3 linked regions of the Mytilus edulis genome follow. The protein of the gene in region 1 interacts with the protein of each later gene in a pairwise test. Links are inferred from orthologs where the notes say so. Each region holds a gene or a part of one and is shown in the gene's direction. Other genes may lie near its edges.

Region 1 (7,122 bases):
AATACAATTCCGTAATAAAAAAATAAAGAAAACATATTTTTTATTTATTTATGTTTGTGTTTTCTTCATCTCCAATAAGATTTGTGCTATTTAGGACTACAATTACATTAATTGGCGAATTTCAATCAGCTTCACTGTTGACAAACTTTGAGGGAAGGGTTATAATTGAAAGTCACATTTTTTTTGTTTTAAAAACAGAAACTATCATTTCCCTCGTAAAAATTGGCGTGGCACTCCTCCCACGAAAAAAATATTTGTATCATACTTTTTTCCATTTTCTTCTGTAATTGCTCAAACACTCTTTAAATCAGGCATGCTGTTAATATTTCATATCCCTTTAAGCATTTTTCTGCAAAGATATGACCCGGGCTTTATAATTTGATTCCCATGATGATTCATCTCAATAGATGTGTTGCAAAATTAAATTTTCTATGAGTAGTATATATGCCGAAAGTATGATATACCAGAGATGACGATGCAATATACTTTTGCCTAAAATAAACGATTAGCATAAATTATTTACTCTATTGACACTATAAACGACAGCTAAAAATTCTGACGAATGCTGCTTCAAATTTTAGGCTATTTTAACAATTAAAGCTATTCCTTCCCTCATATTAATGTGTGCTTATCGATAAGGAATTGATGGATAATTTATATCTCTTATTCACGTGCACTGCAACTCCTGTATGCCTTAATGCAACTATAAAACTTTTCACACAATGAGCTTCACTTGTATGTTTATGACATCTTGTGAATCAGTGATCTGCATTCCATATATAAATGGTTGAGTTTTGAAGATCTTGATCTTATTCACCTTTTAAAGATTACTTTTAACAAATTTGGAACCGACTCCACTTTCTGTAAAACTTTTTGTGCGAATGCCGATAATTTTTGAACGTTTGGGGTTAACCTGAACTTATTTACGCGATGATTGAAGCAAGGAATCTGCAAATTTGTTGGAGTATGTTGGATTAACTTTTAGATGGTGACGATAAATTAGTGTTAATGGTCCAATGGCAACTTTTTCATGTCCGGACGAAAAGGTGTCGATATATATATCATTTTATATGAACCATGTTATGTATCATACAGACACGCTGAGTCGGATTTGTAGTCCTAGCTAATAGATCACAGGAAGACATGCTCTACCCAAACACATTATTCTGACTTAAAAAATTTGCTCTAACTTCTCGAGTGTGATTCTTTTGCTAGACTTTTTGCTTTCATGTTCCAACAACCATAATCCCACATCTCTTAGTTTAAAACGAAATGAAATTGTATATACAACAATTTTATATTTAACAAACCTGGTAAACTTTTAAAAGAATATTTTTATTTCGAAAAAGATACAATAGAATGTGTTAACAATTATAAGTATTTAGGTTTAAAATTTATATCTAGTGGACTTTTTAAGCAAGGAAAGGAAGAATTATACAAAAAATCAGTAAAAGCTGTATTCAAATTACAAAGATCTTAATCATCTTCCAATCCAAGTATTTCTACTCTATTACATATATATGACCATACAATAAAAAACATTTTAATGTATGGCAGTGAAATTACAGGTATGTTTAAAACTAGCTCTGCAGCATGCCAGAAAGAAAGTGAATATTTATTACAGCATATTTATATGAATTATTTTTTAGATAAATCCAATTTAAGATATATGAAGTATATATTAGGTGTAAACAAAAAGTCTTCTAACCTAGCTGTGCTAGAAGAGCTTGGTAGATTCCCTTTATATTTTTCAGTTGTATTATCAATGCTAAAATATTGGTTTAGAATAAGAATATGAAAGATGGTTTACTGTATGATACCTATATGTGTAACAAAAACATGTTTAATAATAATATTGAATGCTGGTATTTTTAAAAAGCTGAATATTCATAATTTGGAGGTGAAGCTCTTCTTTTTTATCAAGTCAGTTAAGCAAAAACTTTGTAAAAGTTTTGTAAAAGTTAGGAACACAAAAAGAACAGAATGAGATACACAGAGTAGTAAATTAGATACTTATTTCAAACTTAAAACTTGTTTTTCGAAAGAAATGTATCTATCTTTAAACAATTTTCAATTGAGAAGTGCCATATGTAAAATTAGAATCAGTGCACATGATCTCAAAATAGAAAGAGACAGGTATAAAACATTATAGGCTTTGTAAGAAGTGTACTCTAAATCTGGTTGAAGATGAACAACATTTTATAACTAGTTGTTCAGCTAGCATACAAAAACGATAGGGAGATATTTTTCAAGGAGATAAACTGTATTTGTCCTAATTTTATACATCTTTCAAATGAGGCAAAATTTGTTTGGTTATTTACTAATAAAAATTTGTCTGTACTTAGATATTTAGGGAGCTATATTATTACATGTCTAGATGTTAAAGGAAATGTTAATTAATGTATGTGTAATAACAATGATAAGTGTAATGATTTTATGGTTCTGATCCTGTCTGGAATTAAATGTATATGATTTTCTACATAATTTACTAACAGATTTTCATGGCTAAGAAGAAGAAGGTATTGGCCACAGAGCGAGGAAATGGAAAAAGAAACCCCTTTCAAGAGCAGTTCGTCTGACAAGTCATGTCTAAATAATGTCTGAATATAAACGATGTTCCTATAAGACAAGAATGTCGAGACATCTGAAATAGATGTAACTAAACTAACAGCACGTGCGAATAGCTACAGAGGAAGACATTCTTGTTGGTCGATCATATCTCGAAAATGAAAACGAAAAAAATAATTTGTCTGACCATAACCCGTGTTCGTAATCTTTATGGCTAAAGAAATGGTTGCTAGATTTAGAAGAAGTGTTCCTTTAATAAAGAAAGTTAACAGCTAGGTATGACTGGTGCAAGAAAAGGACTGAATTATCTTCACCCATATCTATATATATTTGGAAACCTTCAAAGGAAGTGCAGCTGGCAGTATGGTACTAAATCCGAATGTTATATCAGCAAATTTTAAAAGGCTTGGTGATCTGAGTGAATAAAATAGGCATTCAGAATACACTTAAACGCATCTTTAATACTGATGAGACCGATATGAATATAATCTATGAGGTGTGGATTTAGTCAAATTTAAGGAGCTCCTGAATTATTGCATAATCACTATAGAAACGGCAATGTAATCACACAATCATTTAAAACCCCACGAAGAGGCTAAGGCTCAGATTCAAAATTATTTCCTAACACGATAACACATTGTAAAAGTTAAGAATATCCTCCGAGACAGAATTGTTGAGGTCCTGAAATTACTGTGAATAAAAAATTACGGAAATAGAAAACTAAAAGTTTCCTATAAAAAAAATTCCCGCAAGACATGGCAGAGTTCAGTACATTACAGATGTGTGTAGACACCTGTCTGTAGTTTTTAAAATACTGCATGTGGTCATATAAATCATGATGAATGCGCCTTGTTTCTTATTTTTTTGTAGTTGGGTCGCTGTCTCATTGATGTATACTCAGCACATCCCTTTACTTATATTGAAAGATCGTAAGTCCTTGGTGAGGGTTACATTCGTAGCTTAAATAATCATTGAAGATACATGATTAATATGTCCGGCCATTTAGATTGACCTGACCAAGGATTTACTCTTTGGATTGACCAATTAGATATTTAATGTTAAACTCAACTGGTTCATCACCTCGACCTGTGAGGCCCCTCATGGGGGGTCCTAGTAATCACATAATCACCATTTTTTTGCCAATATAATCACATAATCATTAAATATTTGCTTATCTTTAGTAATCAAATAATCATAAACTAAAAATACAGTCCTAGGTAATCAAATAATCATGAAATATTTGGCTTAATAATCAAATAATCATTAAAAAAACGGCCAAGTAATCACATAATCAAAAACCCCATGAGGGCCCTCACCTGTCAACTATCAGGGTGCACTCTAATAATTTTTTAAATAGTCACTTGTTGAAAGAAAAAGAAACAAGACCAGGGGGTCTATCTTCCAAGTGCGTATGTGTACCCATGCAAGACATGCAAGTAGTATTTACTTTACAAATCCTTTATACTTAGGTGTCTTAGGTGTGATAAATTATGTATATTTCAGGTTATTTGAATTTGGCGCTAAATTAAAGATGCATTGCGCAGGTTGAATAAACCAAAACAAAAATGGCGATATCATAATGACAACAAACCAGAATCAACAGTCTAAAAATGTCTATAGAATTTTATAACGTTTCATTATAAAACCTTTATCTTAATGCCGATAGAAACAATAACTTTAAATTACCATGCTCGATCTAGAAGTAGTCCCGGAAAGGTCACTTGGAAACGAGCAATGGGAATTTATTCTTGGTGAGTATGACGATGTCATCTTTTTACAAGTCATTATGTCAGATTTCATCTGAAACTACAAATAAAAAAAACCCAAAAGAGATCAATGATATCAAAATTCATAGTGCTGATATCTGTAAATAAATTATTTCTATCGTTTCGTAATTTATAATGGACATCGATCGTCACACAAAAATAAAAATAAATAACAACGGTGAAGGTCGAATGTCACAAAACAGCTGATCACTATTGGATAAAAAAATACATGTAGGAACAAGACAATAAATAACAAAATTTGGGAATCATAGACTCAAGATTTCATTTAACTGTTCTACATTTAATTGCCAAACCTTTTAAGTTAATTATTGATCTTTATTTTGATAGACAAAAGACTTGAATCTGAGATTGATCGACCAAAATCTTGTCCGATCCCATTCTCATTTGCTCTCTTATTTAAACAACAACCCAATCAAAGAGTAAAAAACAGAGCTGAAGGCCACTAGTGGTGTTCTGATGATCGGAATAAGTCGTAAATCAGTTGGTTGGGCCTTGCGATGTCGATAATCGATTGGGATTTTGTTCAATCGAATGTCTTTACAGTTTCCGGACTTTTAGCATATCAACTTCCGGTCCGTTTCTGGTTTGCATTTTACATGCGCAGTCAAACAAATGAAACGAAATATATCAGTTGATGACGATAACAATGTCAAACATCCTATAATCAAAGACACAATCAATTGCTTTCTTTATAAACGTGATAAAAGCATTGACTATACAAATTGATCGTATGCTATTTAATATAAATAACTTTTTACGAAACACTTTCTTTCAATTCCGGTACTTGTTACTGAGAGCGAACATGAAATCATTCTGATTTTGGGCAAAATAGTTTTTTAGGCAGTTAAGCTGCCTTATGCGAGCGCCCTGGATTTGTGTGCTACCCAATAAATGCTGAAATACGTGCCATTGTTATCATCTAGCTGGCTACTATATTATTCATAACTTATTGGACAGTTTTTTCATACTTTTCATTCTGGATTACAAAAAATATGACCAGAAAAACCTTAAGTGATCGTCGATTTTCCCAAAAGTTTTGAAGTTGCACATAGGAAGTAGAGCACATTAGGAATCCTTATGTAGTTTATTATCCCCTGAGCTTTTGGCTAAGATGTCAAAGAACAAATGTATGAAATATTTAATCGCCGAAAATCTCTAAAGACAAGTAGTTAAGATTTCCCAAATTACAAAAGTCGTAGGAATATTGTTTGTCGTCAATACGTAGTCAACTACGTATATATACGTCAGTAGTCTATTAATATAAGTTCAACTGATCACACTGTTAGCGGCAATTTTGAATTAATAGAAGACGAAATTTTCGTATCTTATCAATTTTGACGCAGGGGTTCAAATTAGCGGTGGTGTGAGGTCTGCGACCTTCCACTTTTGCAGTCGGACTTTCTACTTGGTTACTAGCTACGCCCGACGGACCTTGAAAGAAAATAAAAAAAATAACTTTGCAAATATTTTTACCGAAGTTTCCTAATAAACGATCTCAAACTTATTTTCATCATTACCATTCATGACAGCGATGTTCAATTTGTTCAACCGCTAGCTTTATACAGAAAATCGCCGATAAATAATGTGTGTAAATCCGAGTAAAATCGTATCTCACTATCTGTCAAAAACAACATTGAAAACAAAATGGCTGCCGCGAGATTACAATATCAGATCCGATTCCGGAAGCGGATAAGGGTAATCCCAGGTTTTGGCTATCAGCTAAAAAAATCCAGACAGGTGACAAAATACATCTATGCCTGGTAAATAAATATAAACCCTAGAATTTAAAACCAAAAGATATATGTAAAAGAAAGAAAAAGCAGAAAATATTTTGTACACCAATGCAATTTTAATGTCAAAATCCAATACAATGTGACAGCTGGGAACAGTTTATCTAACAATATATATGTTCCTGGTAGCAGTATAATTTTTTTTATCAGTGATAAATGTTGGTAATGAATGTTAAATGCTTTTCAAGTTAAACATATTACTGCAATTTCAAGGGGTATTTTTTTCTTCTCAATTTTGATAGGTCAGTTAAAATAGCTGGATCGAAGTTTCTTATATAAAAAAAAAAAGATGTGGTATGATTGCCAATGAGACAACTATCCACAAGAGACCAAAATGACAAAAACTTGGTAATGGTCAAGATCCCCACCCCTAAACCATATATATTCATGTATGGGACAAAATAACAAATCATATGAAATATAGGTGGAGTTCGTTGGGCCACTCTAACTACCCCTTTCTGTTTGAGAATTTATAACGGTCGAGATCCACAATCTTAAACAATATATATTTATGTATGGGACAATATTACAAATCAAATGAATTATTAGGGGGTCACTGTACACCCTCCTGTTTGAGAACTTGGAAAAATTCGAGATCATCACCCCTTAACCATATAAATGATATATACTCATGTATAAGACTATATAACAAATCAAATGAAATATAGGGGAAGTCCCTGTGGTCCCCCTACCCCTCATATTTAAGAACTTTGAAACAGTTGGGATCCCCAACTCTAAATTAAATGAAATATAGGGGGAGTCCCTGCAGTCACCTGATTGAGAAATTCGAAACAGTCGAGATCCCCACCTTTAAATTAAACCATATATATTCATGTATGAGAACTAATCAAATGAAATATAGGGAGAGTCCTTAGGGTCACCCTACCCACTCCTGTTTGATAACTTAGAAACAGATGAGATCCCCACCCCTCAATCATACATATTCATGTATTGGACAATATAACAAATTAAATGAA
Region 2 (7,432 bases), on another chromosome or scaffold:
AGAATAATTTTTTTAACGTCTCCCGATCGTACGAGAAACGAGAACAACAATGTCATTATGGTCAATGCCTTAGTAGTTTAATACTCCCATTCGTTGTAGCAGGGACTTTTAATACTAAGTATATACTAGACGTATATAAATATTATCTGGTTGTAGTTATATACATGTCTGTTCAGCTTTCAACAAAATTGATATTCATGGTCCCCGATAAAAAGAATATCTTGTGTTCTTTGATCTTGCTTTATATGTTTTTTAACTTACCAGTTTGATTTCTAACAAAATAATCTTTAAATACAGATAATAATTGTTTGCATAAAAATTGCTTCCAGGATCCAACAATACTGATGGAAATCGAAGGAAAACAGGTCATTTTAAGCCACTGATTTTATCGAGAGAAAACCAAAAAATCTGCGGTCACGATGTATTTAATTTTAATATTTATAGGCCAAAGTACGACCTTCAGGACGAAGCCTTCGCTCACTCCGAACAGCAACCTCAGCTTGTTTTTACATAAAAATTGCTTCACGTTTCAACAATACTGATGTTTCCTAAAGTGAGGAAATCGAAGGAAAAGGTCATTTTTAGCCATTTTACCGAGAGAAAAAAATCGGCGGGGGCTGCGCCCCCGAACCCCTGATCTTGAGGGCCTCAATCGGCGGCCTCCAAACCCCTGCCTCCCCTGAATTAAAACCCTAGTTACGGCCCTGCCCTCCCCCCCTTATGACTGAAAAACATATATTTTTTAGCATAAAGTCGTCCAAAGAATTTTTCGACAAGCTCCGCTCAGCGGTATATATTCAGTTCTCTTGAATCAAGTTCCCCTTTCAAAAATCCTCAATCCGTCTCAGCCAGTGTAGGCCGCAAAGAATGCAGGCTCCCTAATTGCAGATTTATTCACAAATCGATAGACTCAGAGTTTGAAATATTAAGTCTTGTTATTTCTGTCAGTGGTGTTAGTTGCTGTTGTATTGACGTTTACCCTTCACCCATCTTTATTCATATTTGCTGCAATAGTTTTTTTTTTTCTTTTTTTCTTGTTTATAAGAAAGGAGATGTGGTATGATTGCCAATCACGGAGACAACTCTCTCCACATGCAAGAGACCAAAATGACACAGAAATTAACAACTATAGGTCACCGTACGGCATTCAACAATGAGCATAGCCCATACCGCATAGTCAGCTATAAAAGACCTCGAAATGACAATGTAAAACAATGCAAACGAGAAAACTAACAGCCTCTATATAAAAAAAATGAACGAAAAACAAATATGTAACACATAAACAAACGACAACCACTGAATTACAGGCTCCTGACTTGGGACAGGCACATATATATTGTTCATTTTATAAAGAATTAATGTGTTGTGTGGAGAGCAAAACAAATTAGATACATATGGGTTGTCATAATTTCATGACAGCGACAATTAAGGATACAGTGGCGGATTCAGAGGGGGGGAGTAGAGGGCGTACGCCCCCGCCCCCCCCCCCCTTTTGCTCGGACTTTTTTTTTTTTTTTTTTGTAAAATGATTAATCAGACTAGACTTCGTGAACTTTGCCATTTCCCGTGTATTTAATTTTTATAAATACGACAATTCTTTACTTATAAAGATATTTTAGCTGAATATTAACTGATTGTCAAAGTCATGTGATTTGCTATGGTGGAGGTGACCAGTGCATTGAAAAAATGTCACTCGGTCATTTTGAAATTCAAATTACAGTAACACATTACTTAGGCTGAGGATGTCATGACAATCATGAAACCTTTATAGCGAAACAGGATTGAGCAAGAACGTATTTACTTCTATTTCACTATTCCACCAAACAGAAAGTAATAGTAAATACTCTATAGACTAATACACTCTCATGAGAAAATGTTCCACCATATTATTTACCTACGAAAACATGTTTAACCCCAAATGCCCCAACCTATTTTTATAAATAACAAATTGAATAATGATCCCCAGTCAGTATTTATAAGCTCTAGAAATATTTCAAGTCTCAGGTACAAACCATTTTATTTGAGGTGTCAGTCAGAGATATTTGAGAGAAAAAAAATTTGACTCTGATTCTTGCCTTAAGAAAAACTCAGTTCTGGCCGTATCTGGATTGAAACAATAGTCTTGTCCACTTTTTTTGCTATTAGCCAACAAAATTATTTAGCATTAAATGAACATGATGAATAAAAACGGGCGTATTTTTTTTGTGGCCGAGGTTTGCATGTCTGACCTGAATGTCTGTTTCGCCGGACTTATATATTGAATACTTTTTTCAAGACCAGACTGTAACCTGCCTGCTGGGTGTGGCCTTTATGTCTCCATTTGTCGACCGTTATTCATAAATTCGTTGTCATTTCAGACTCTTTCGTAGCCTTTGGTTGATTTGGAACCCCTCACTTTCCTTAGTTTTGTTGAGTGAAACATATCAACCAAACATTTGGATAAAAACTGCATGTTTGTCCTTTTAACTCGTGTCGGCCGTATTGTAAATTTCATCGAATAGCCCGGCGTATATCTTGTTTACAAGAAGAAATCTGTGAGGTTATGACAACTTAACTTGCAACAAACCGGCGAGAATTTCCATGTCTATTTTTTACTGACAAATCCCACATCAAATATATCAGTACATAGCTTTGGATCCATACTATCATTATATGATAGACAATTAATAGAGAGAAAACAGCATCAAAAATTTCCAACCCTTACACTTTACAGCAACTATAAAAAAAAAAAATACATGCCCCACGCCAGCAAACCGTTTAAATAGTACATATACTGACACTTATTTTATGTTTTTTAGCCCAAAAAGGTCCCAAAAGCTTTGACACTTCCGCCCCCCTTTCCAAAACTCTGGATCCGCCCCTGGGATATATATCAGAACAAGTGAAAGGAATGCAAGGTGACCAGAAACTGGTCGACGTTCATATGTTCTATCATGTTCGCATGCTTTAAGCAAAGTTGTATTAAAGATAACATAAAAACAAGTTCAAGGATACATGACATGCATTAGCTACTTTGAATTATTGTCTAAATATTCGCATGACCTAATGGGATCATATCAGATCATATCTGGCAGCCGATCACACACCACTCTAATCTAAATTTTACGTGTTATTAACTTATATTGAAAGTTCACCCTATAGACTACCTCTTTGGATACTAAGACATGCCGGGTTCTGAAGTCGAGTAACGTTGCATTCACGAGAACTAGGTTACCTTTTCACACTTCAGTTGCATGCATGTAAAGTTCAAGTTAACGTTCACAGCGATTACAGATAGGTGACTATACAATTTTTATGTAAAGTTAAATCAACAACAAAAATTTAACAACAACAAAAAAATCTACTAGCAAATGGATATAAACCTCGTAGTATATTCATGAACCAAAAAGTTCAGTGTTGAAACATCCGTAAAAGGTTCAACTTGTAGCAAACACTGTCACTTTCAAAATATCGTCCAGACGGCATACCGAGCAAGCTACAATTAGAATTTATCTTTAGCGTTGGACGCCGACGCCAAAGCTGGGCCTGCCGACGCGAGCGCCGAAACCATATTTGGGGCAATATGCGCAATTGTTTCGCTATAGGCGGTAATGGTAACGTTTTCTTCTGTAGCTCAGTCCGTATCGCAAACTTGGATATGTATGATGGCTCCTTTCGAAGCTGAGACATTTTCACATGTGTGGTTGAAGGAGGGGGGATAGGACCTTTATCGGATTTCGGGATTGACCCTTTCGGGATCAGGGAATTCTTTTCTCGAATTTCGTGATGTCGGGATTTAAATTTATTTAATATCGGGACCTCGGGATTTCTAGTATTTAAGCCCGGGATTCGGGATCAGGACCCCTCCTACCCTCTCCTAGAAGGGGTAAGAAGTGTGATTCATTTTCCCGTAAATAAGCATACCCAAAAAATCCTTTCGCGATGCGACTCATCGTGGTAAAAATATCTCCTTCTTCACACAATAATATCTTTGAAAATGTAATACAAGTACTTTGAACGGAATACATTAAATAACTCTATATTTTTCACACATTTATTCTATGGTCCTCTTCTTTCCAAATCAACACAAATGGTTAAGCGCAGTCATGTGTTAACATAGATATATGTTCAATATCACTACACAGAGATTTTTTGTTTACACACAATTTTTTGTGTTCCTCAATCGGAGGCGCATTAAAGCGGAGTATTAGCCCATTTGGGTCTAAAACCGGACGCCGACGCCATATTTGAACCTTCAACATCTAACTGGCTCTACTCTAACGAAATGTTTATCATTATGTAAATCATATCTTTCCCCTTAATTTTCATTGGAAATCAAACTGATTTCATATAATAAGAAAGGAGACCGTTGCATTCTTCTCACTATTTAAAAAAAATGGTAGGTAGTCCGATGTACCATTAGACAACAGTTACCTCCCCTAATAAAATTCATCACCGGGACTGAAATGGACACAATTTTTCATGAACAGGTAAAAGTTGTCTTTACAGTGACAACTTTATACATTTTCTCGATATATTTCATAAAACAGACTTGCTTGCATTAGGATTCGGTAGTCTGAGTGGTCAACTGAACCGTCCTTTGACCGCAGTCGTGACATTTTTGTCTATCACTATCAGCATCACTGACAAAATCACCAGATTTGATGCCATACTACAGTTTAACTGTATCTTCAAGTGACCTTAAGCAATTATATTTGGTCAGTGTACTTTTATTTCGTTGACGTTTGACTGTCATAAATTTAGGAAAATCTTAAAGTGTGTTAGAACTTAAATGAAATTTTCATCATCAAAGAGGGGTAACTCTTTTGTTGGGTTTCTATTAAATTTGGTACAGTGTATTACAATCAGAAACTTAAATTGCAATTGTAAGTATACGATATTATGTAATGATCAATCATAGGTTACCTATGCTTTAATTTTAGCAAGAGGGTTCCCTGTGTGCACAACACTGTCTAAATGCCTTAATACAAGGACAGTACTTCAGTCCAGTAGATTTAGCAGAAATTGCTCAGCAGTTAGATGAATCAGAAAGAGAACAAATGGCAGTAGGTGGCATACAAACTGAAGAATATAAAAGATTTATGGAGGTAAAATAATGATATATTGTATTTACCACACTAAATTCATTCTTTTTGTTTCTGTGCGTCAAGTTTAAGTTGAAGAATATGCTTACAAATTTTTGTTTGTTTAATATACTGTACATTATATACATGTACATGTACTTCACCATGTTTATTCTCATTGACTTTACTGGAAGTCTAGAAAGTGCGGAAATGTTCTTAAGAATCATATAGCTTAATAAAAATGGGGAATTATGGAGATTTTGTTATAACTTGTAAAATTTGAATAGGCCAAGGATATAGATGTGTTTGCAGAATGAGACAGAGACTGAGAGTGTGATCATAGTTAGAGAGAATGTCATGTTATTTGTGATATTGCATAACTGTGCAGATACCTTAAAATGTCTGGAAATAAATAAAACATCATCTACATGTATGGTACATGTACAAATGTATGTCACTCCCTGTTTACCAACAACGTGAACAATTTGGATATACATTTGTATATATACATTTAGCAAGCCTTGTGTCATGTATTATTTCATTTCTATAAACAAGGAGTTGTATAAATCTTAAATAGTTTGTTATTTCTGGAAAATTGATAAGAAATGTTATAACATGTATTATAATACTACATGTACATGTACATGTATGATGATTAATTATACAAAATACATGTACATGTACATGAAGTATACCGGTACTCAAGATAAAGTTTTAAATCTAATTTTCAGCAACCATCCAATAATTTTGATGACAGTGGATTTTTTTCAATACAAGTAATAGAAAAAGGACTGTCAGTATGGGGTTTACATCTGTTACCCTATAATTCACAAGATCCTATTGCTGCAACAGCTAGGACTAACCCTGTGTGAGTAATTATAATATGATGTTAAGAATCTAAGGTTGGCAGATAGCTTTCAGAAAAGAATGATACAATATAGTATGTATTGCATATATCTACATATTAATCTGAGTAACATTTATGAAATATGTATACATTTTGTACATTATCCAAATTGGAAAGGGAGAATCTTGTTGATTTCAATGTCAAAGGTCAACCAAAGAAATTTGATATTTGGTGTATCAATTCATTACATAAAATTACAACATGCACATAAAAAGATAAAAACTTTCACTAGAAAATAAAAAGACAAACAGACAAACACCAGTACATAAAACTCACCATAGAAACTAGAGACTGAGCAACATGAGTCCCACTAAAAGTTATGATAAAACACTTGAAATACCATCACCTTAATTATAAATATAAACAGACTTAAATGCTAATGAATGAATTTATATTGACATTTTTTAGTAAATGACAAGGAAAAACTACATTTTCAACGATTCTAACTAATCTCCAGTCAGGTCGTAAAGAAAACATTATTGATATTTTTGAAGAATAGTGTACAAGTCTGATCATAAAATTGAGAAAGGAAATGGGGAATCTGTCAAAGTGACAACAACCAAAGGCCACCAATTGGTCTTCAATGTAGCGAGAAACTCCCGCACCCGAAGGCGTCCTTCAGCTGGCCCCATAAAAAATATGTATACTAGTACAGTGATAATGGACGTCATACTAAACTCTGAATTATACACAAGAAACTAAAATTAAAAACCATACAAGACTAACAAAGGCCAGAGGCTCCTGACTTGGGACAGGCGCAAAATTGCGGCAGGGTTAAACATGATGAGATCTCAAGCCTCCCCCTATACCTCTAGCCAATGTAGAAAAGTAAATGCATAACAATACGCACATTAAAATTCAGTTCAAGAGAAGTCCCAGTCTGATGTCAGAAGATGTAACAAAAGAAAATAAATAAAATGACAATAATACAAAAATAACAACAGACTACTAGCAGTTAACTGACATGCCAGCTCCAGACCTCAATTAAACTGATTGAAAGATTATGTCTTAGTACATATTGTACTAGTATTAATTCAGCTAATGTTGCTAGCATATTGTTGTCTTATTCTTTATATGTGTAGACTAGTAAATTATTGAAACAGTTTGCTGTGGTGTCCAACACTATTTGTAATAATTTTTTTCTATAAATCATGATAAATTGTGAAGATGATAAAATCAGCTTTCATCATCAGACAGATTGATACTAATAATATTTTTATATTTATTTTTTTTGCAGAGAAATGAATGCTTACATATGCAATTTTCGAGAACACTGGTTAGCAATAAGAAAACTTGGTTATCAATGGTTTAATTTAAACTCACTACTTACAGGCCCAGAACTTATATCAGATACTTATTTATCATTATTCTTAACACAACTACAACAAGAAGGTAAGTAACTTTTTAAAGTGAAGGCAAAGATTTAAAAATATAAAGAATGATTTATAATTCTTTGGTACAA
Region 3 (7,611 bases), on another chromosome or scaffold:
GCCGATAAGTCTTTTTTGTATATGTCGCAATTATTTTTAATCCTGTTATTTATGATGATTTTACTGAGAAAATTACAGTCGTATATGGTTTGAGTAAGTGGAACATATCCGTGGTTATATCTGGCACAAATATTTCAATATGCATGTTATGCATGTTATGGTGAATCAAATATTGAATGCGTCTGTTAAACTTTCAAAGGATGTCTAAACTTTACCATTAGGTTCTCAGAAGCCCTGGAATACTAAAAAACTTGGACGTATATACATAGGAAACAGGCACTGTTGATATTTTGCTACGCCGAAATTGAACGCTTACTCGTTACGACACACTAGATGATTTCAATTTAATCACTGTCGCAATGTGAAAATTGAAATCATCTCGTGTTTCGTTATGCTTAGGCACACCTGAATTATAACTTTATTTACGGTATAAGTCAAAATATGAAGATAAACTAGAGAATGGAAATGGGGAATGTGTCAAAGAGACAACAACCCGACCATATAACAGACAACAGCAGAAGGTCACCAACAGGTCTTCAATGAAGCGAGAAATTCCCGCACTTTACACAAGTATTCCACATTCCAAACTAAAAGACAAATTGAAAGAGTTGGTATTACTTTGCTTCATAAAAAAGAATGGCCAACGTAGATACAAGTATCTTGTCTTAGGGAGGGATAAATCATACTTTGTAAAGAATCACTCTGATTCAAACAAAAAATTCTCTCTGAAACCGATATTATCAAGATGCTTGATTTCTTGATTGACAACATATTTGTAACGTTCGGAGAACGTGTTTTTCAACAGACTGTCGGCATCCCAATGGGAACAAACTTTGCCCCTCTACTTGCCGACTTGTTTTTTTATTATTATGAGGCTGACTTCGTGCAGAAACTTCTTAGGAAGAAAGATAGGAAGTTAGCAATATCCTTTAACTCTACTTTCCGCTATATAGATGACGTTAAAACGGTTCTTTCACTAAACAATTCAAAATTTGGTGACTATGTGGAACGCATCTATCCCATCGAATTGGAGATAAAGGATACTACAGATACAGTTAAGTCGGCTTCATATCTTGACTTACATCTAGAAATTGACAATGAGGGTCGGTTGAAAACAAAACTTTACGACAAAAGAGATGATTTCAGCTTTCCAATTGTGAACTTTCCATTTCTAAGTAGCAACATTCCAGCAGCACCTGCATACGGGGTATATATCTCCCAATTGATACGATATTCCCGTGCTTGCATTTCCTATCATGATTTTCTTGATAGAGGGTTACTGCTCACAAGGAAGCTATTAAATCAAGAGTTCCAAATGGTGAAGTTGAAATCATCCCTTCGTAAATTTTACGGACGCCATCACGCGTTGATTGACCGTTATGGAATAACCGTTTCACAAATGATATCGGATATGTTCCTTACGTCGTAACTACAATCCCCTTCCCTTTCATGAATGTGACCTACCGAATAAGACTATTTACCGGATTTGTAATCACATAAGCAACACGACGGGTGCCACATGTGGAGCAGGATCTGCTCACCCTTCCGGAGCACCTGAGATCACCCCTAATTTTTGGTGGGGTTCGTGTTGTTTATTCTTTAGTTTTCTATGTTGTGTCATGTGTACTATTGTTTTTCTGTTTGTCTTTTTCATTTTTAGCCATGGCGTTGTCAGTTTGTTTTAGATTTATGAGTTTGACTGTCCCTTTGGTATCTTTCGTCCCTCTTTTACTCAATCTGTGGTACCATGTATTTCATGTTTCATGAGTAAGCGTTCAACATAATCACACAATTTTGCATTATTTGTTGAGAGGAAATCTTCTGTACAAAGCGGGAAGTTTTTGTTACTTTTAGACTCGTTATAATAAGGGATTGGGACTATTTGTTGAAAACACTTAAATTAAACGTAACCATTATAATTCGTCTTAACTCAAACGAACATTCGCTTTATATTGAATGTTTGTCTCATTGGCAATCATACAACATCTTATTTTTATATTATATATTTATCATTAGATATTTTTAAAAAAAAAAGCGGATTTCAAGTACAATCATATGCAGCTAGTAGGCCTACTCCGAGGAAAGAATTATAGTTTAATGAATTATTTACATTTTGATTTTGTGGAAATGATAAGCCTCCGTCAATGTTGGTATCTATGTGTCCAAGTTTATAATGGTGTAACTTTAGTGTTTGGCTAGCCACAAAACCAGGTTCAACCCACTATTTTTTTCTTAAATGTAACAAGTCAGGAAAATTGCAGTTGTTATCTTATAGGTCGCTTCTGTCTGTGTTGCATTGTCTTTTTTTTTTTCACTTCAGTGTTTCTGTTGTTTCGTTGTTTTCCTCTTATAGTGTTGTTTTCCTCGGTTTTAGTTTGTAAAACCTATTTGTTTTCTCTCAATCGATTTTTTTTACCTTCGATTAGCGGTATGCTACTGTTTTCTTTATTTGCATACATCTGTTGAAATTTTCTTATTTCCTAACTTACCTACTTACTTAATTAATTACTACCCTATGCGCCATTTCTTGTAGTAGTGTGTCTGGTAGAGTTGAATAGCCTTTGCCTCTACAGTTCTCCAAATTTTATTTATGGTCTTGCTTTCGTTCTTTTAAAAACAAATTGCACAGTCGAGTGCTGTTGAAGTGGTATTCTCTTTCTCTTTCCGTATGACATGTCTGATCCAGCATCTTCACATTATAGTTCTAAATTCTGGTTGGTATCTGATTAGAGTGTTATGGTTTGAAATTTGTTTGTGGCCAGAAGATTCAAAGAATCCTTCTGAAGCTTTCTGATATAGAATACAGGCCGCTTGTTTTGATCGTAATTTGTCATCCTCCATAATTCAGCGGCAAACAAAAGTACAACAACAATGGCGGATCCAGGGGGAGGGTTCCGGGGGTTGGAACTCCCCCCTTTTTTTTTTAAATGGCTAGATTCGCCCCTGAACAAGACTTAATGCTGTAAAGTTTGTGTATGGTTCGCATAGAATATTGTTTATCTCAGTTCAGCCTGTAGATTGTTAAAAGCTGCCATTGTCTTATATAGGCGTCTTTTGATGGCAGGTTCTGCTCCTCCATTGGTAGAAAGTGATACTAAGTTATATGAAAGTGTGAACATGCAGTAATGTTCTACATCCATTTTACAGACCCTGAGTTGTTTAAACCTAGCGTCATGATACTAGTTTTCTTTATATTGATTCGAATCCAATTTGTTCTATATATGTTTTGTGTGTGAAACATTGATGCTAAATAAGCAAAATCTATAGTAATGGTTGTCATGATCTTACTTTGGATGGAAAATACTGTAGTGCCTCGCCAGTTGTTACAATCATTAAGTGTTATGATACTTATGTCTGTCACATGGCATCAGATCTTTCTTCTCGATGTTTTTTTAAAGATGTTTTAGAGCAGAGTGGTAGATAACATTGATAAGTCCCATTCCCAAAGAGTTCGGCATTCAGATTGTCATTTTCATATGATTTTCCATTTTTTTACTTTTATTTGCAGACTTCATCTAATGCTTTTCGTGTGGTTTTATGTTGATTTCTATTCCATTATTATTCTCTTTCATAATAGGGCGTTCAGAAGATTTAGTAGCTCAATGAAATGGTCTGTTAACAAATTCACTTTATTATTTATTGAAGGAGGCTTTGAAACTTTATTTAACATAGCTACTGCTTCACTGAATACGCACATTCTCCATGTTCAATTTATGACAATATATCGAAAATGGTTTAAACAATAAAACCTGAGTAGTGATATTATCATGACAAATCTCATATTCAAGTAGTTTGCCCATTTCAGCAAATATTGGCAATTTAAAAAATCAAAACCATTAGTTTAATCAGACAAAAACTGTTTATAAAACATTAACACCAATAGTTGGAGTACTGCTAAAAGTTAATGTATGGATTATCAAGTGTTATCAAGATTTAGTGTAAAAAAAAAAGTAAAAATCCCTCATTTACCATATTGAGACGGTATTGAGGATACATCGTGTTCATGAACAGTGTAGTATTTTTAGGTGATATCTAAACTTTAGATTGCATGTGTTATTTTCTTCTTTTTTTCCAATTTAATATTCGTGAAAACCTCAAAAAGCTTTGATCTATATTTGTTTGATCTTAATTGCTTTACTCTTTCGGTTGCAGTCTTGTAATTGACTGCTCCATAGGCTTACATGTTAAACAGCAGATCTTTGAAATAAAAAATAAAAAAATGCTACATAGAAAAAAAATTTCATGTTCACATCATGTATGTGAATTTTTTTAAGTCTATTTACCTATATGTTTCAATTCAGCATAAACCTATAATCAAACAGAAAAAATTGAGTTCAGAAAAAAATGCATAAACAAATACACTTTTTTGTTTCCCTCCATGTTTTGGAAACTGGAGATGTAATACAAGACTGGTACCTTTCCAGTCACAAATTAAAGTTTTCGGTTTCTTATCCTTTCCGGATCTTTCTCATGTTTATGACGGTTAATTGTTTAAAATTTATTCGTCCAGGAAACGGAAATCTGCAACTTTACTTCGCGGACAGGTCAAAACAAAGCTGACGTCATTTCTGCAACAAGTACATTTGTTTACATTTGTAAAAATTGAAAGAATGTCCGCAGAATCGCCCCGAAAGCACCTTAAATTTGTAAATAATGTTGTTAGACCACAGGGATTCAGGTAAATTTCCATTACATAGCAAGATTATAACATGCATGTACCAGATAATTTGGGACCACTTTATTATGTCAAAGCCAGAAGGATACTGAGCCAGAAATGGGATATGATCGCCAATTTGGATACACAACTGGACCCATGGATCTGCAGGATGAAATTAATCAATAATATATTTCATGAAAATATCTCAATTGGGAAATGAATTAGAATAAATTTCTCAAGCTTGAACTGTTTCGTCCTGATCTTTGAATACACCTTATTGCGATTACCTGATTACTTTTTCGGAACCACAACAGTTACGCAAAATTTTGACATCACAAGAGAAAATGTCTGAAGTACTAAAATGAAAGTGTATCGTTGTATTGGGGTTCCAAACTTGGATCCTGCTTATAATTTGAACAGAATCCCATATTCGCTTCTCTCGTTGCCATTGCAGTGCATGTAATTGCCTGTGTCCCGCCCTTTGTTTCCCATTTTCATGCTTAATTATTAAAGTTGTGCCTGTCGAGCTTAAAATAAACAGTCATGACGGTAAACCTGTACCCATATTAATATACTGGCCTAGTACAAATGGTAATGATATCTTTCAGGCTGTTTGAATTTTAGCTGTGATGTCGTAGGAAACTGTACATATGACTGAATTTTATTAATAGAATTTTAAGACGCTATAACAATTTGGCCTAATTAGTAATATAGGTCCTGCAATACTCTAGGTTTATGAAAAATTAAGGAATATCTTGCACAGCATATTTGTCTCACTAATGACCAAGGAAACATTGTATTGTTCCATTTGTTGAAGACTCAATCACATCTCTTTTCTAGAATTTCATCAGTTTTAAAAATTCTAAATAAAATATCTACTGGATTTTACCTTTAATGGTTTATGCAAGTAAATGTGTATATATATATACATCATGTGCATGCTTACTTTATTTTTCAGTGACAAAACGGTTATGGAAAACGTAGTTGATTTCATATCAGATGTTGTACCACAGGTGAGCAAAAGATGTATTTACACTTTTAAGCAAAGGAGTAGGTCCGGTAAGGGCAGATTTTGGCCTCAAATTTGAATGAATGAATGAATTTTATTTCTCATAAACTACAAATTACATAGTTACAGAGAATATATAAACAATTACATTAAATATTGAAGCACATGTGAACAATACAAACATAAACATTACATTACAAACTAACCAGGAGGAGTGACCCTCACATTTATAATTTTTATAAATCTACCAAGTTTTTCAAGAACAATATAATTATTATAGCTCATTAATTGTTGATATTTATAAATATTTGGACGAAGAGTACAATAGTCATGATAGTATGGTATCAACCTCTTTCTTTCTTGAGTTAGAACATTACATGACATAACATAATGAAATTCATCACCTACGTCTCTTGATTCGCAATTTAAGATGGCACAACCTATCATTTCTTGATATGTTATTCCACCTGATTCAATTAGTTTATGTGAAAGATTCTAACTGATTAAGTCATTAAAAACGCTCTGATTCAAGCTTATATATGAAAAATATATCAAATATGCAAAAAATCGTCACTTTTCAGATGGTTTTTGTCAAAAATGAAAGTGGCCGCATCCTTGTTCATCCTCAACCTTTATCATGTTTATATATGTTATGTATTATCATCAAATACAACTTACATTTCAATATTTTGAATGAACAAGAATGCAGCCACTTTCATTTAAGACGTAAACTGTCTAAAATTTAACTAGAATGCTAAAATTGTGAAGATTTCAGTAATTTAGCATGACTTAATGATGTTAGTACGTGATATATGTGCATTGTATTGTCAAAAACAGGCCATATTTGTGTAGCAGAAGCATTCTTCTTTCCAATTAATAGCTAAAAGATTAAATTTTCACAATTTTGTAAAACTGCTATATTTTGGGGCCAAAAAGAGGTCTTACTGAACCTCCTCCTTTGTCTGCCATTTAATACATGTATGTAAGATCACACAAGTTCCAGTAATCTTTGATATCACAATTGAAAAATGTTTACCTCACAATGAAAAAAAAATGATTGTTGCATGATGTCAGAAGGTTAATCGGAGCAGATCTCAGGTCATTTGAAGACAAAATTCAGTTACAATTAACTGTACATGCAAATAACTATAGTGTATATATGTTTATAGTCTTTTAGACCCTTCTACAACGAAATTTGTTTTACATGCACAAGTATAAAAATTGCGGTTTTTATCCAAAGCAATCATAGGTTTGAACGTAGTTTTCAATTTAGACTTGTTTATGTTTATAGACATACATTCATACAATGATTATATAATTATTTGTACTTATATGCAAATTTGTATGCCATAATTACAGTCAAACACGTTTCCGTAAAACTAGATGAGCGCCCCCCCTCAGGTCAAAATGAAAATTGATATAATTTTTTTAAATATAGATGTAACTTATGTAGTTAAGATAAAAAAAATCAATTTTGTATTAAATACATGTAAAAACCAATTGTGTTTGATAATGTTGATAGAAAGAAAACTAAACAATAGAATTTTAATAAATTTTATTCAATAAAATATGAAAATTGTCTATTTCTATCCAAAAACATTATGTTAAATACATTAGTAGAGCATACATGCATAGGGGTGATTTTTAAAGCAGGAAGGAAAAAAGATCATTCATACTTCATTGAACTTGATGATGTTAGAACAACTTCAGTCATGAAATTATGAGTTGTGCTTATAATAAGTTCTAAATATAAAAAATAAAAAAGATTTTTTTGTTGGATTTCCTGCCATCAGACTATAAAATGCAATTATGTTTTGTACAGTGTTCATTTAATATGAATATAGTAACATAGCTATGGTTGTTTCAGTCCTTTTTCTTAATTTCAGGCCTATAGTGGAAACCAAAAAGTTGATGACAAAGAGAAAATTTTGTGGATGAGATTTGA

The links.
Region 2: the proteins of phagosome assembly factor 1-like (region 1) and ataxin-3-like interact in binary tests that used the Homo sapiens proteins (3 or more experiments, as listed by UniProt). The link is inferred for Mytilus edulis from reciprocal best matches to the Homo sapiens genes PHAF1 and ATXN3.
Region 3: the proteins of phagosome assembly factor 1-like (region 1) and BCAS3 microtubule associated cell migration factor-like interact in binary tests that used the Homo sapiens proteins (3 or more experiments, as listed by UniProt). The link is inferred for Mytilus edulis from reciprocal best matches to the Homo sapiens genes PHAF1 and BCAS3.

What each region holds. Positions count from the first base shown.
Region 1 is NC_092348.1:64,621,946-64,629,067, forward strand, and holds the start of phagosome assembly factor 1-like, read left to right. Parts: upstream 1-4,103; 5' UTR 4,104-4,255; coding exon 4,256-4,319; intron 4,320-7,122. UniProt on the Homo sapiens protein: Plays a regulatory role in autophagic activity. In complex with BCAS3, associates with the autophagosome formation site during both non-selective and selective autophagy.
Region 2 is NC_092346.1:61,398,197-61,405,628, reverse strand, and holds the start of ataxin-3-like, read left to right. Parts: upstream 1-4,400; 5' UTR 4,401-4,445; coding exon 4,446-4,469; intron 4,470-4,922; coding exon 4,923-5,087; intron 5,088-5,794; coding exon 5,795-5,931; intron 5,932-7,207; coding exon 7,208-7,362; intron 7,363-7,432. UniProt on the Homo sapiens protein: Deubiquitinating enzyme involved in protein homeostasis maintenance, transcription, cytoskeleton regulation, myogenesis and degradation of misfolded chaperone substrates.
Region 3 is NC_092349.1:73,482,863-73,490,473, forward strand, and holds the start of BCAS3 microtubule associated cell migration factor-like, read left to right. Parts: upstream 1-4,519; 5' UTR 4,520-4,610; coding exon 4,611-4,678; intron 4,679-5,615; coding exon 5,616-5,670; intron 5,671-7,552; coding exon 7,553-7,611. UniProt on the Homo sapiens protein: Plays a role in angiogenesis. Participates in the regulation of cell polarity and directional endothelial cell migration by mediating both the activation and recruitment of CDC42 and the reorganization of the actin cytoskeleton at the cell leading edge.